3 linked regions of the Sus scrofa genome follow. The protein of the gene in region 2 binds, or shares a complex with, the protein of the main gene of each other region. Links are inferred from orthologs where the notes say so. Each region holds a gene or a part of one and is shown on either strand. Other genes may lie near its edges.

Region 1 (3,743 bases), about 35 Mb from region 2:
CATGAGGATGTGGGTTCAATCCCTGGCCTTGCTCAGTGGTTTAAAGAGTCTGGCATTGCCATGAGCTATTATGTAGGTCACAGACATGGCTTGGATCTGGCGTTGCTGTGGCTGTGGCACAGGCCAGCAGCTGCACCTCCCATTTAACCCCTAGCCTGGGAACCTCCACATGTAGTGGGTGTGGCCCTAAAAAGACAAAAACAGAAAGCAAGCAAACAAAAAAACCCAGAAGACTTTTACAATACCAATTTCATTTTCTCTGGGCTATCATAGCATTCTACACATAACATAAAAATACCCTTTACAACAATTCACTGTAATCCGTTAACTTGCTTCTCTTCCCTGGTAGACCAGGTAATTTATGAAGGCAGATCTCAGTCTGTCTGTCTTTCTATCCCTTATGTTTAGCTCGACAGCAGTCTAAATGCATAAATAGTTATCAACCAGTAAAGTTTTAAAAGTTTAAGCAAAAGGCTATTTAGAAAACTTTTAACATTTCAATGACAGGCCATTTAATTATCTCACTAACTGTGCGTCTTCATTCCTGAAGGTGAGTGCATTGTTGCTGGCTCATTTGCCAGTGGAAAAACCTGAACATTTAAGGGCAAATCTCCTGGAGGTACCTGCCTACAGACAGACTGCAAGCGGCCTGTCGCCTGCAGAACCCACAAGATCTGCGTCTTTCTCCTGGCCTTGACCTACATAGCACCTAGAAACACTAAAAGAAGTGAACAGATAGATGTATTTAGGGTAATCTCTTTTGTCTTTAGGTTCAGGAATGCACAGATGTCGGTCTATGTGGGTGTTTTTGTGTGTCTGAGTGCATGTGTGCATGGGGAGGGAGGAAGAGGGTCAAGGGTTCATCTCTTTTTCTCAGATGCCTTCCCTAACTTCGTTGACCGGGTTCTATTCACCTCTGCATCCTCTCCGAGCACCTTATTCTCCTTCTCTGCACTGATCACAGCTCTGATTGCATGTGTGTGCTGACCGCTTGTCTCCCTCGCTAGATGGTAAACCGTACCCGACGAGGTAAGGAACGTATTACGTTCCTGTTCACACTAGTAATCCTCCAGCCCAGTAGGACGCCTAAGGCATCACTGGTATTTCACAAATATTTCTTCGACCCTTGTTTCTGGGCAAGACTTGGGTGGACCCACCGTACAAGGGAGCCAGCGCCCGCCCCCAGTGGGCACAACGCCCCGCCCACCAACTACCGCTCGAGGCTGGGCCGGGCGGGGCCCGGCGGGGCGCTCTCGCGGGGACAGTTCTCCGGCTCGCGTGGGCGCGGCCCGGGGAGGGCGGAAACACCGAGGGGGCGGACACGGCGCGAGGCCGAGGCCTGGCCAATGAGCGCCGGCAGGGCGGGGCTCGCGGCCGGCGGTCCGAGCGCGCGCGGAGCTGGGCGTGCCCACGGGTGACGCGCCGGGCCGGGCGGGCCAATGGGCGCGGGGTGGCGGGCGGGCGGGCCTGGTGGCCGGGGGTTTAGGGCGCGCACGGGAGGCCGGCCGGACAGACTGACGTTCAGCTGCAACGCGGGTGGCGGTTTGTCCGGGATGGCGCTGGCGCGGGCCTGGAAGCAAATGTCCTGGTTCTACTACCAGTACCTGCTGGTCACGGCGCTCTACATGCTGGAGCCGTGGGAGCGGACTGTGTTCAGTATCCTGCCCGGGCCTCGGGGCCCGGTGGGGGCGCGGAGCCGGGGCCGCATCCTCCCGGGGCCCAGGCCCTGGAGGGCTGGGTGGTAGGGGGGCGGCGGGAGGGCGGAGAGGCGGCCCCGCGGGAGCCGCGCACCGACTCGTTTCTTCGTGGCGGGCACGCGGAGCCGAGGTCTCGGCGCCGAGGGTGACGCTCCTGCGGTGGTGGGGGGTGGGGAGGCGGCGGGAACTCTTGAGATCCGAGGTCGCGGATGAGTCACTTGACCCGAAATAGAAGCGTCTTTATTAGTGGAGGAGATTCCCCTCCGGCGATGTGTGCCTGGTGTGCCTACCCTTGCACTTCAGCCGTGGCATCCTTTGGTTCAGTCTCCTGTTCTTGTGGGAGGTGTAAGTGGAGCAGATTGCTCCCGGCTCGGACGGCTTTGACCTTTAACTGTCCCTGATTTACCTGGCTTTAGTTCTAATGAAAATGCTAACCAGTTTATCAGCTTTTAAATCCGGTTGTGAATTTGTGTTCATGGCGTCCCAATATAGTTTTAGAAAGCAATTTTTTAAATTGTACCTATTTGGTCTTCATGATGGTTAGTTTAAAAAGTGCATTCTACTCGTTAATTTGCCATTTGCACAGTTCTTAGCAGTCAAGCTCGAAAGGAATTTGTGGTTAGTTGTAGGTAGTGTTTGAAACCGTTTAATAGATCGCCAATAACTACTTGTCCGACTATTGAGCGTTTACTGTGAGCCAAGCAACTCTGCTAAGCAGTTTGCCTGTTATCTTAAGGCATCTAACTTTCATAACCTCAGTTAATAACTCAAGGTTGTGAAGAAATGCTTCCCGAAGTGTCTCCACTTGTCTGTGTTGAGATCCTTTGATATTATTCTAGAATAAACACTAATAATTAGATGTAACTTTTTTTTTTTTAACTTGGGGGCCAATGAGGAACATAATTTACGTAGCATGCTTGCTTCCTATAGGGCCTCTCCTCTTCAATGTGGTTTAGTTTGGAGTAGCTTCAGAACAACTTTGAACAACTTTGCAAATGCATTATTGCATTGTGGTAGAATGACTGAGGTAATTTCATTCCAAGGCTTAATCAGTGTGTTTATTTATATTAAACAGGCATAAGATTGCACTAAAAGCAGAGTCTTTTGTTTCACCACTTCTGAGGTATCTTAGCTGCTTACAAGCAAACTTAGTTTTATTATTGTTGACATTTCTTTACAAACCTGGAATTTAAGAACCAGAATGCATGTTTTGGATTTAAAGTTTGAAGGTAAAGTATGCTCTAATTTTCTACACCATTTATTTGTTACTACAGTTCAGTTTCACTCTAAGTTCTATAGGTTGGAGCTAATGAGGACCTCTTTGTAAAATGTATAGTAAACTGTATACTGAAATGTAGAGCATCTCTCTTTTTCTTTTCTTTTCTTTTTTGTCTCTTTAGGGCCACACCCACGCCATATGGAGGTTCCCAGGCTAAGGGTCTAATCAGAGCTACAGCTGCTGGCCTATGCCAGAGCCACAGGATTGGAGCTGCCTCTGTGACCTACACCACAGTTATAGCAACAGCGGATCCTTAACACAGCGAGGCCAGGGATCCAACCCGCAACCTCGTGGTCCTATTGACTTTCGCCTCTGGAGGGGGAGTTTTTAACATGTTTCAGAAGTCCCCTTTCTCTGCTGGCAGCCATCCCTGGGAAAGGAAAAGACCAGGTTTTGTAACCAGTGAGACACTCCCTGAGGGCCTCACTGAGTAACATTGTAACCATGCTGTTGAGGGGAAGTGGAGAATTGAAAATACTTTGTTATAATACTTGCAAGCATAGGAGTGTAGTGGCTGAGCTGTTAAGGAATGAGACTAGGATTCATGAGCATGTGGGTTCGATCCCTGGCTTCGCTCAGCCGGTTAAGGAGCTCAGTGGGTTAAGGATCCGGCGTTGCCGTGAGCTGTGGTGTAGGTCACAGACAGACTCGAATCCTGTGTTGCTGTGGCTGTAGCATAGGCCGGCAGCTACACCTCCGATTCTACCCAGGCTGTGGGAACCTCCATGTGCCGTGGGTATGACCCTAAAAAGACAGAAACAAACAAA
Region 2 (3,743 bases):
AAGGGTCCATTGAGCAATTAATAATAATTAACACTTAGAAATGTTTACTAATTGCTAGGTCCCGTACAAAATACACAGCATGTATTAACTCATTAAATCCTCAGGACAATTACCATTATCTCCATTGAACAGATGAAGACAAATAGAGGTCACTTAGCTAGTAAGTGGCACAAGCCAGGATTCAAATCCAGACTGACTCTTATTCCATATTCTTAAATGTGACACTAAATTCTTTATGGGTAACCAAAAGTTTGCTTGCTATAATGTAGATCCATTTCCTTATTTTTTAATAACTAAATATAAATATATAAATATATAAATATAACTAAATATAGTTATATATAGAATAATATATATATAATATAATATAATATATATATTATGCTTCTGGTATGGGCCACATATGTGACAGATGCACAATGCCTTATTAATATAATTCTTGCAATGTCTATGAAGCAGGAAGTATTAACTCCATTTTAAAGGATTTGGCTCCCAAAGTGGTTAAATACTCAAGGTTTAGCTTCCGGTTACTGGCAGAGCTGGAATAAGGCCAGTTTCTTGACTTTCAAGGAAGTGTTCTTTTAAGGAAATTGTACAGAAACCCTGATAGGGACAGATGCGAAGGGCAAAGAGACATTTGAGTTATTACTTAAAAAATGTATTAATGTACAGCGGTTACTGAAGAATGGTGAGGGAATATCAAAAAGTGCATTCTATAAAAACACAGAATTCGCAAATTAAATAAAAAAGCCCTGTCTCAGGCTGGGATTCAAACCCGAGAACTTCCCCGGAGGCAAGGGCAGAGAGGGCCGTGTCCTGGCACTGACCTGCCCTGAAGAAGAGGGAACCTGCTCTAAACACTCGGGCTCAGCGGGGATGTCAGGTTGAAGGGCCCCTATGGAACACACCCTCGACACCTGCCAGCCGCTTTATTCTCGCCGGTGATTGGCCAGACAGGAATCCGGGGTCCGCCTCCGCCTCCTCGATTGGCCAGCAGTCCTCAGGCTCACCACCCTCCCGCGCTCCCCGCCCAGTCTCCCGCTCCCGGGCTCGGTCTAGGGCGAGTCGCAGCCTGGGAGGGAACGGGCCCCGCCCCCCCGTGACGGCCCGGCAGGGAATTGGCTGCGGCGTGCAGCCATTTCCGGTTTCGGGGTGGTGGGAGGGGTGCGGAGCGGGACTTGGAGCCGCCGCTGCTTTGCCCGCCGCGTACAGATCCTGCCTCGCGCTTGGTGCTGCTGGGATGATGCGGTCGGGTCCCGAAGGCTGCTGCCGTCGCCCGGTGCGGGCGAACGGCTGCGTGGCGAACGGGGAGGTGCGGAACGGGTACGTGAGGAGCAGCGCCGCTGCCGCCGCAGCCGCTGCCGGCCAGGTACGTGGGACCAGGCGGCCGGGCCGGGGGCGGTGGGTGGGGACACCGCGAGCTGCCCCGTGCGGAGAGGTGCCCCGGCCGGGCGAGGTCGCGGTGACCCTCAGCGGGAGCGGGCGCTGCTCAGGTGTGCTAGCGGCCGTGTCCTGGCACTGACCGGGCCTGCCCCGGGCCGGAAGGCTCAAGGGCGGCGCAGGGGCTCTCCTATCTCTCAGCGCCTGAGGTCTTCCTCTCCGCCCTAGGGAGGTTTGGGCTCTGCTTCCTCTACCCAATCCCGCCAGAAGTGGGGCCGTCCCCCAGGAGAAGCAGGGAGTGCTTTCTCCGACACCGGGAGGATCCACTCGTGGGCTGTAGATTTTTTTCTCCCAAGACTCCCTTCTATGCCCTTCAGGTAGTTGCTTCCTCCTAGAGCCATGAAGCCCTCAAGGGAAAACCTCGTTTAGGGTCCTTGGGAGGCAGAGAAAGTTAGGAGGTGGTACCGGGCGGAAACACACCCTGTCTTCTCCTACCACGTAACTACCCTCTTCTACAAGCAGGACGTTCAACCACCAATCTGCCCTTGAACCCGGGCCAGTGCCTCAAAAGCATTATGATCTTGGCCCGAGGTGAGAGCCCATCCTGGGGACCAGGTGGTCCTTTTTGACCCTTTGAGCAAGAGCGCCGTCACGCAAGGGGATTGTTTAGCCTGATGGCGACTTGTGATGAATCTTTCTGTTAATTAACCAAGGCTGAATCACCAACGAAATCCAAGCTGTTCTGAAATATTTTGAAAAGTTCTGACTTCAAGGCAATCATTACCAACTTTCCACTTCTCTGGACTGACAGTTATTTTGTTGAAATGGTTTTTAAAGACGAGGTGGTTAAAAAGATGCAAGATCAGTGTTGGTGGAAAGGAGGGTATGAAATTTGCAATTGACTTTAACACTTATAAAGAGCTCTCTCAGATATTAAGGAAATCATTTTTTTCAAAAGTAGTCTGTTCCCCATAGCAGGAAGTGTAACTGTTGTACTAGAATTTGGCATTACCATAAGTATCTGGCAGCCTCCTCCCTCAGTCATACCTCAGGAGGTATGATAGATACTGTTTGGTGTGAAACAAAAAAATAGAGCATTTCTCCCGATCTTGTTGAGATATGAAGACCGTAAGAGTTGAAGGGAAATACAAGAAAGAGACTTGACCTCCTTTGAAGTTGTAAGGCGTGAGGCAGTGTGATACACAACTTCGGGACATTTATTTTCATTTTTGAAGAGATAATAGCGTGAGACAGGAAGTGATAAGAATCAGCTCATTATAAGCCATGGGAGAAGTTGTTTTCCTAGCAACGTAAATGGCTAATAAGACAGAATTGTTGTGGTAGACACTGTAAGAGGGAAACCTAACGGTGTCAGAAAATGCAATGCAGGCCAGTACATAGGTTATTCTTAAGAGGGAAAAGGGAATCAAGAGAAAGGTGTTCATGCACTAGAGGTACTTCACGTTTAAATGCTCTTTTCACTTAACATACTTATGTTCTGAGTTGGTAAATCAGACTCCTCCCTCCCATAATCCTGAACAGTTTTTTTAGCATTGGTGGGCAGGACATTTCTTCAGAGATTGCTGACTGATAAGATGAAGAAATAGCAGGTGGCTAAAATGAACTTTAAAAATCTATGTAACTGGAAAATCTGACTTTTTAAAATAAATGTTAGTGAAAATTTTCACTGAAGGCCATTTGGAAGAATGGTCTGGTGGAATGTCCTAAAGAATGTTTAGGGCTGCAGCATCTCTTCTAGAAAACCATTTCTCAAACGTCTTTTTAAAACAAAGACTTTAGGTATGTAGCTTTGTACACTAATGCGAGGAATGTAGTCTGTGGGGGTATTCCCTCCCCCTTCTTTTTTTCTTTTTGCTTTTTAGGGCCCTACCCACAGCATATGAAAGTTTCTAGGCTAGGGGTTGAATAGGAGCTACAGCTGCCGGCCTACACCACAGCCACAGCACTGCCAGATCTGAGCCAGGTCTGTCACCTACACCACGATAATGCCGGATCCTTAACCTAATGAACGAGGCCAAGGATCAAACCAGCAACCTCATGGATTCTACTCAGGTTCGTTAAACACTGCCACGAAGGGAACTCCTCCCTCCTTCTTTTTTCTTAAGCAAAAGAAACTTCATCAATGCAAGAATATCTTAAAAATATTTTTTAAAGTTGTTTTTGTCTTAATTAAGATGATGTGCTAGTGTTCCAAGCTCTATTTTTTTTCCCCCAGTTTCTGAGGGAAATGTTGCCAGTTATGCCATAAAAATACACATATGATGTTAAGTGCACAGGTGTGTGTACTTTTACTAAAACAGTGTAAAGTGGTTTTTAAACCTGAGATACAAGTTTTTCCTCAC
Region 3 (3,667 bases), on a different chromosome or scaffold from region 2:
AGATGAAATATTTGGGGATCACGACTTCTGCCCATCTTCCCTAACGCTCCTATCCTGGGTCTCCCCCCGTCATGACCCAGCAGGACTGGTGGGTAGAAAGAAAGAGAAAAAGAGAAAACAGACTAGAGACAACCTTTGCCTAGACCTGGAAGCCGTCTTCTTGGTCATATGAAAACAACCCGTCCAGATGTTTTACCCATTTGGCAGCCACTCAGCTAACCCTCGTGATGACACCCACTTGGCTGCCACACCAGCAGGGCGCTTTTCTCCACCAGAGGAGACGCAAGGAGGGAGAACGCGGCCAATGGCTCCAGCTCCCACGGGTGGCTGGGGCCCACGTCAACACAGCTCTCCCAGGGACACAAAACCACACCTGTGGCCTCGCTCCTACCCCCTTTCCTCACTGCCCACCCGTCCTCGCCTTGGCCTCCTTGCCCAGCACCTGTTTCCAGGTGTGAGTTAGCACCATGCCTTCCCCTGCCCAGCTCCAAGGGCAGAAGCCCTGCAGCAGGAGGAATCAGGAGGGCTGCCCCTGATGCCCAGGAAACAATGCAGCCCAGCTGCATTCCTGGATGCAGGTAAGAAGGGGAACGAGCAGCCCCTTGTCCAGAGCTCAGCTGTCCCCGGATCCCTGTGACCAGCAGGAGGTTTGAACAGGTGGCACGTTTGTACTGGCTCACCTCCCTAGCTGAGGGAAGATCCTACCTGATAAAGACCCTAAGGTCACTGCCATGGTAACAGCCTCATCTTTCCTGGGGATACAGATGGGGGGATCCTGGAAGCACCCAGAAGGCCACCCCCCTCACCCTGCTGCAACCAACAGACCCACCCGCAGGCTCAGCTGCCCTCAATCTCTGGCTGGGATCAAAGAGCCTGCATGGGAGCTGGAATTCTCAAGGATCGGTTCCCTACTTCCGGGATAATGGGAACGATGTTCTCTTCTTAGGCGGCTCCAAACTTAGAGACCCCAGGGGAAACATGACCCACAACACACCTTGCCAGCATACAAACAGACAAACGACAGCTAGGACACACCCTAGCAGCAGTGATGCTCCTGCGGCCCATCAGCTCAACCCATTAAGCTGGATAATTGGGCCTCACAGAAACCCAAGGAACTAGAAAACCAGGACTGGCTCGGTTGTTTACCTCCCCAGGGCTTAGGGCTTCAGTTACCCTAACACAGCTCTTGGGACACCTACCATGCAAATGCTTCCACCAGGTGGAATGTTGGGGGGGGGAAGAGGGGGAAACTCGCTAAGAAGTAAGGGCTCTGAGGACTTAACTACTGACTAAGGAGAGAGAAAGAGTTCCCTGAGTCTGACCAGAAACCGCTGCCCTCCCCCACTTCTCCCTAACCTTGACCTACAAGGCTGTTAAAGTAGCGAGCAAGACCTCTAGCCCTCCCTGGTATTTTGCCCAGGAGCGCCAAGAGCCTTGCTGAGTCCCAGATCATCCCATACTCCTTCCTGGCTGTAACAGGGCATCCAACAAAGCCTGATGACTCTAGGAAGGACTCAGACCTATGACTTAACCGATTCCCAGGGAAGCTTCTTTCTGCAGCCTGAAACACTAGATGCCCTGAAAGCAGAATACCCCAGGAGACGCCCCCCCCCACCCCCAACAGACAGATGAGGTCAATAAACTAAGAAAATGACAGGCAGCAAGAAGCACTCTTGAGGCTTCTGTGTGACTAAGGCTACATATCACTTCCATTAGTGAAATAACCAACTTCCCCCAGCCCAGACGGGAGAAGTGGGGAGAAGCTGGCAAAGACAGAAAAGTGTACATACAGCAGCTGAGGCTGAAAAGTTCTACTGCCATAGCTGGCAGGTGGCTGTTCGCGTCAGTCCCTGATGTGGTTTCATAACCTGCCTCAAACCAGAGCCTGCAGCAACTCTGTTCTGTTAACCACTTTCTCGCTGGTAGTTCTTTCCTACTCCTTCCCTCTCTTCCCCTCTTGCTCTGAACACAAATATCCCTGCCCAGCCTGTCAGACACCTAAGCCAAGGCCACAGTGCCAGCAGCCAGGTGAGCACTTTCGAGTCTCTCCCCCAAGTCAGGGCAGCAAATCTTTCTCTGGGTGAGGAGCACAAAGCATCCAAGCCTGCAACCTGGACCCCAGCGGGGAGTCCCTGGCAGCACGCCAGAATGCCATTCTCATTCTGCCCACCCCCTAACCCGGAGGGCTACCGTCGCTCGCTTACCTCTCAGCTCTGGCCCTGCCTCCGGGACTCTGGGGGGCAGTGGGAACGGAAAGATGTCGAGTACAGCAGCGAACCCCTAACTAGCAAGGGGAGAGGGCGAAGCGAGGAGGCGGAGTCCTTACTATTGTTGGGGTTTTTCTGAGTGAGACTGCAAGCCGAAATGGGGGGCCTCCGCTCCGTTCCCCAGCCTGGGACCTCTCACTCGGAGCCTGGCCCGGCCTGGAGCCCCACCCCCCGCGTTCACCCAGCCCTGGAAGCTGCCAAACCTTTATCCCCAAAGCCCAGCTGCTCCCCGCCCCCCACCCCCAGCCCGAGCGCTCCTCCTCGACGCTCCATCCCCGGCCTCCAGTCCCCACTTGCCCTTTTCCCCATCCCTTCGAGTGATGCACCCTTCTCGGCTGATGCACCCCCTCAACCTCCGCTCAGCCAGTCCGGGACCCCTCCAGTCCCAGACGCCTCCTTAACAGCCCCCACCTTCTTTCCCGTCCCGCCTGCTAGCCCCCGGAGGCTCCCGGTTAAGCCACTTGGAGGCCGCTCCTCCGGACTCACCGTGCGGGGCCGGACGTCGAGGGCCCGGGAGGGGTGCCCGGGGGCGGGGGCCGCTGCTGCTCCAGCAGCTGTAATAACCCGCGGCGGCAGCCACCCCGCTGGCAGCTCGGGCCGAATCAGCGCCCGGCGCCGGCCCCCATTACGTCACCGCTCAGCGCCTGCCCGCCCGACGCCTCCTGGGAGTTGTAGTTTTTCTCCCCTGCTCCAGCCCAGGCCGCTGGGGCCGCACGGAGGTTTTTAATAGTACGTGCGCGTCACAAAGTTCAGATGGTATCGCCTTGGCGCATAACAATTCCTGCCTTGGCATCCGCGCTCCTGTGGAAATCACTCTTGCCGGGTTTTGCAGATGAAGAAACTTGGAGTTTTAAGTAACTTGCCATAGGTCCCTGCTCGCCCCCAAGCTGGACCCGAACCCAGAAATTCTGACCCCAAGTCAGATATTTTCAATTCCACCTCTCTGCCTCTGCCCTGGCCCTCCGTCAAACGACTAGCCTAGCTGTTTGCCTTGCTGGGCCCTCCTGGAAGCGGGTTTTTTCACGATGTTTTTTAGGATAAGAGTCTGGCGGGTAGAGAACGCAGTCTGTGGGCAGACTGTCTCCTGCTCAGTTGCCTCTGACCCGGGCTGGCCTGGGACCGGCCACATCCTGGGCTTCACCACATTAGATGTGGGAAGAGGACATGTGACTTGGGAAGACTCCCTGCTGAATAACTACAACCCTGAGTCCCAGTCCCAAGTCAGCTGTGTGGTTTGGGGTGGGAGGGTCTCTAGTCTGTAGTTTTCACATCTGCAGGCTCTAAAGGCTAAAGCACAGGTTTCTCCTGGCACAGATTTACCAGGTAGACTTATCAGGCACTCCTCACCACCTGCATAACCCTAGGCCAATAACATCTCTTAATCTCTGATTCCACACCTG

What was found.
Region 1: the proteins of SPTLC2 (region 2) and SPTSSA are in contact, whole or in part, in a cryo-EM structure (PDB 7K0K), measured with the Homo sapiens proteins. The link is inferred for Sus scrofa from reciprocal best matches to the Homo sapiens genes SPTLC2 and SPTSSA. Residues at the interface, in NP_004854.1 of Homo sapiens: Leu73, Gly77, Val80, Leu81, Phe84, Leu87, Arg88, Leu91, Leu126, Arg129, Ile130, Tyr156, Met475, Pro476, Ala477, Lys478, Gly480, Ala481, Arg484, Glu485, Asp533, Leu534, Leu535, Gln536; in NP_612145.2 of Homo sapiens: Trp15, Tyr18, Gln19, Leu21, Leu22, Val23, Thr24, Ala25, Tyr27, Met28, Leu29, Glu30, Pro31, Trp32, Glu33, Val36, Phe37.
Region 3: the proteins of SPTLC2 (region 2) and ORMDL3 are in contact, whole or in part, in a cryo-EM structure (PDB 7K0O), measured with the Homo sapiens proteins. The link is inferred for Sus scrofa from reciprocal best matches to the Homo sapiens genes SPTLC2 and ORMDL3. Residues at the interface, in NP_004854.1 of Homo sapiens: Glu65, Thr66, Pro67, Met68, Ala71, Val72, Tyr75, Tyr86, Gln116, Phe118, Glu119, Asn120, Phe121, Tyr122, Tyr127, Trp134, Asp259, Glu260, Leu261, Asn262, Val267, Arg271, Ile279, Met320, Val495, Val496, Gly497, Phe498, Pro499, Ala500; in NP_001307730.1 of Homo sapiens: Met1, Asn2, Val3, Gly4, Thr5, Ala6, His7, Ser8, Pro12, Val16, Ser19, Arg20, Gly21, Ile22, Leu24, Ser25, Leu28, Phe63, Val67, Lys68, Gly69, Thr70, Pro71, Phe72, Glu73, Pro75, Gln77, Arg81.

Annotation. Positions count from the first base shown.
Region 1 is NC_010449.5:65,301,452-65,305,194, forward strand, and holds the start of SPTSSA (serine palmitoyltransferase small subunit A), read left to right. Parts: upstream 1-1,435; 5' UTR 1,436-1,439; coding exon 1,440-1,656; intron 1,657-3,743. UniProt on the Homo sapiens protein: Component of the serine palmitoyltransferase multisubunit enzyme (SPT) that catalyzes the initial and rate-limiting step in sphingolipid biosynthesis by condensing L-serine and activated acyl-CoA (most commonly palmitoyl-CoA) to form long-chain bases.
Region 2 is NC_010449.5:100,636,369-100,640,111, reverse strand, and holds the start of SPTLC2 (serine palmitoyltransferase 2), read left to right. Parts: upstream 1-1,138; 5' UTR 1,139-1,240; coding exon 1,241-1,369; intron 1,370-3,743. UniProt on the Homo sapiens protein: Component of the serine palmitoyltransferase multisubunit enzyme (SPT) that catalyzes the initial and rate-limiting step in sphingolipid biosynthesis by condensing L-serine and activated acyl-CoA (most commonly palmitoyl-CoA) to form long-chain bases.
Region 3 is NC_010454.4:22,410,366-22,414,032, reverse strand, and holds the start of ORMDL3 (ORM1-like protein 3), read right to left. Parts: upstream 2,904-3,667; 5' UTR 2,754-2,903; exon of another isoform or gene 2,679-2,753; intron 2,587-2,678; exon of another isoform or gene 2,565-2,586; intron 2,451-2,564; exon of another isoform or gene 2,327-2,450; intron 2,285-2,326; exon of another isoform or gene 2,205-2,284; intron 1,814-2,204; exon of another isoform or gene 1,791-1,813; intron 1-1,790. UniProt on the Homo sapiens protein: Plays an essential role in the homeostatic regulation of sphingolipid de novo biosynthesis by modulating the activity of the serine palmitoyltransferase (SPT) in response to ceramide levels.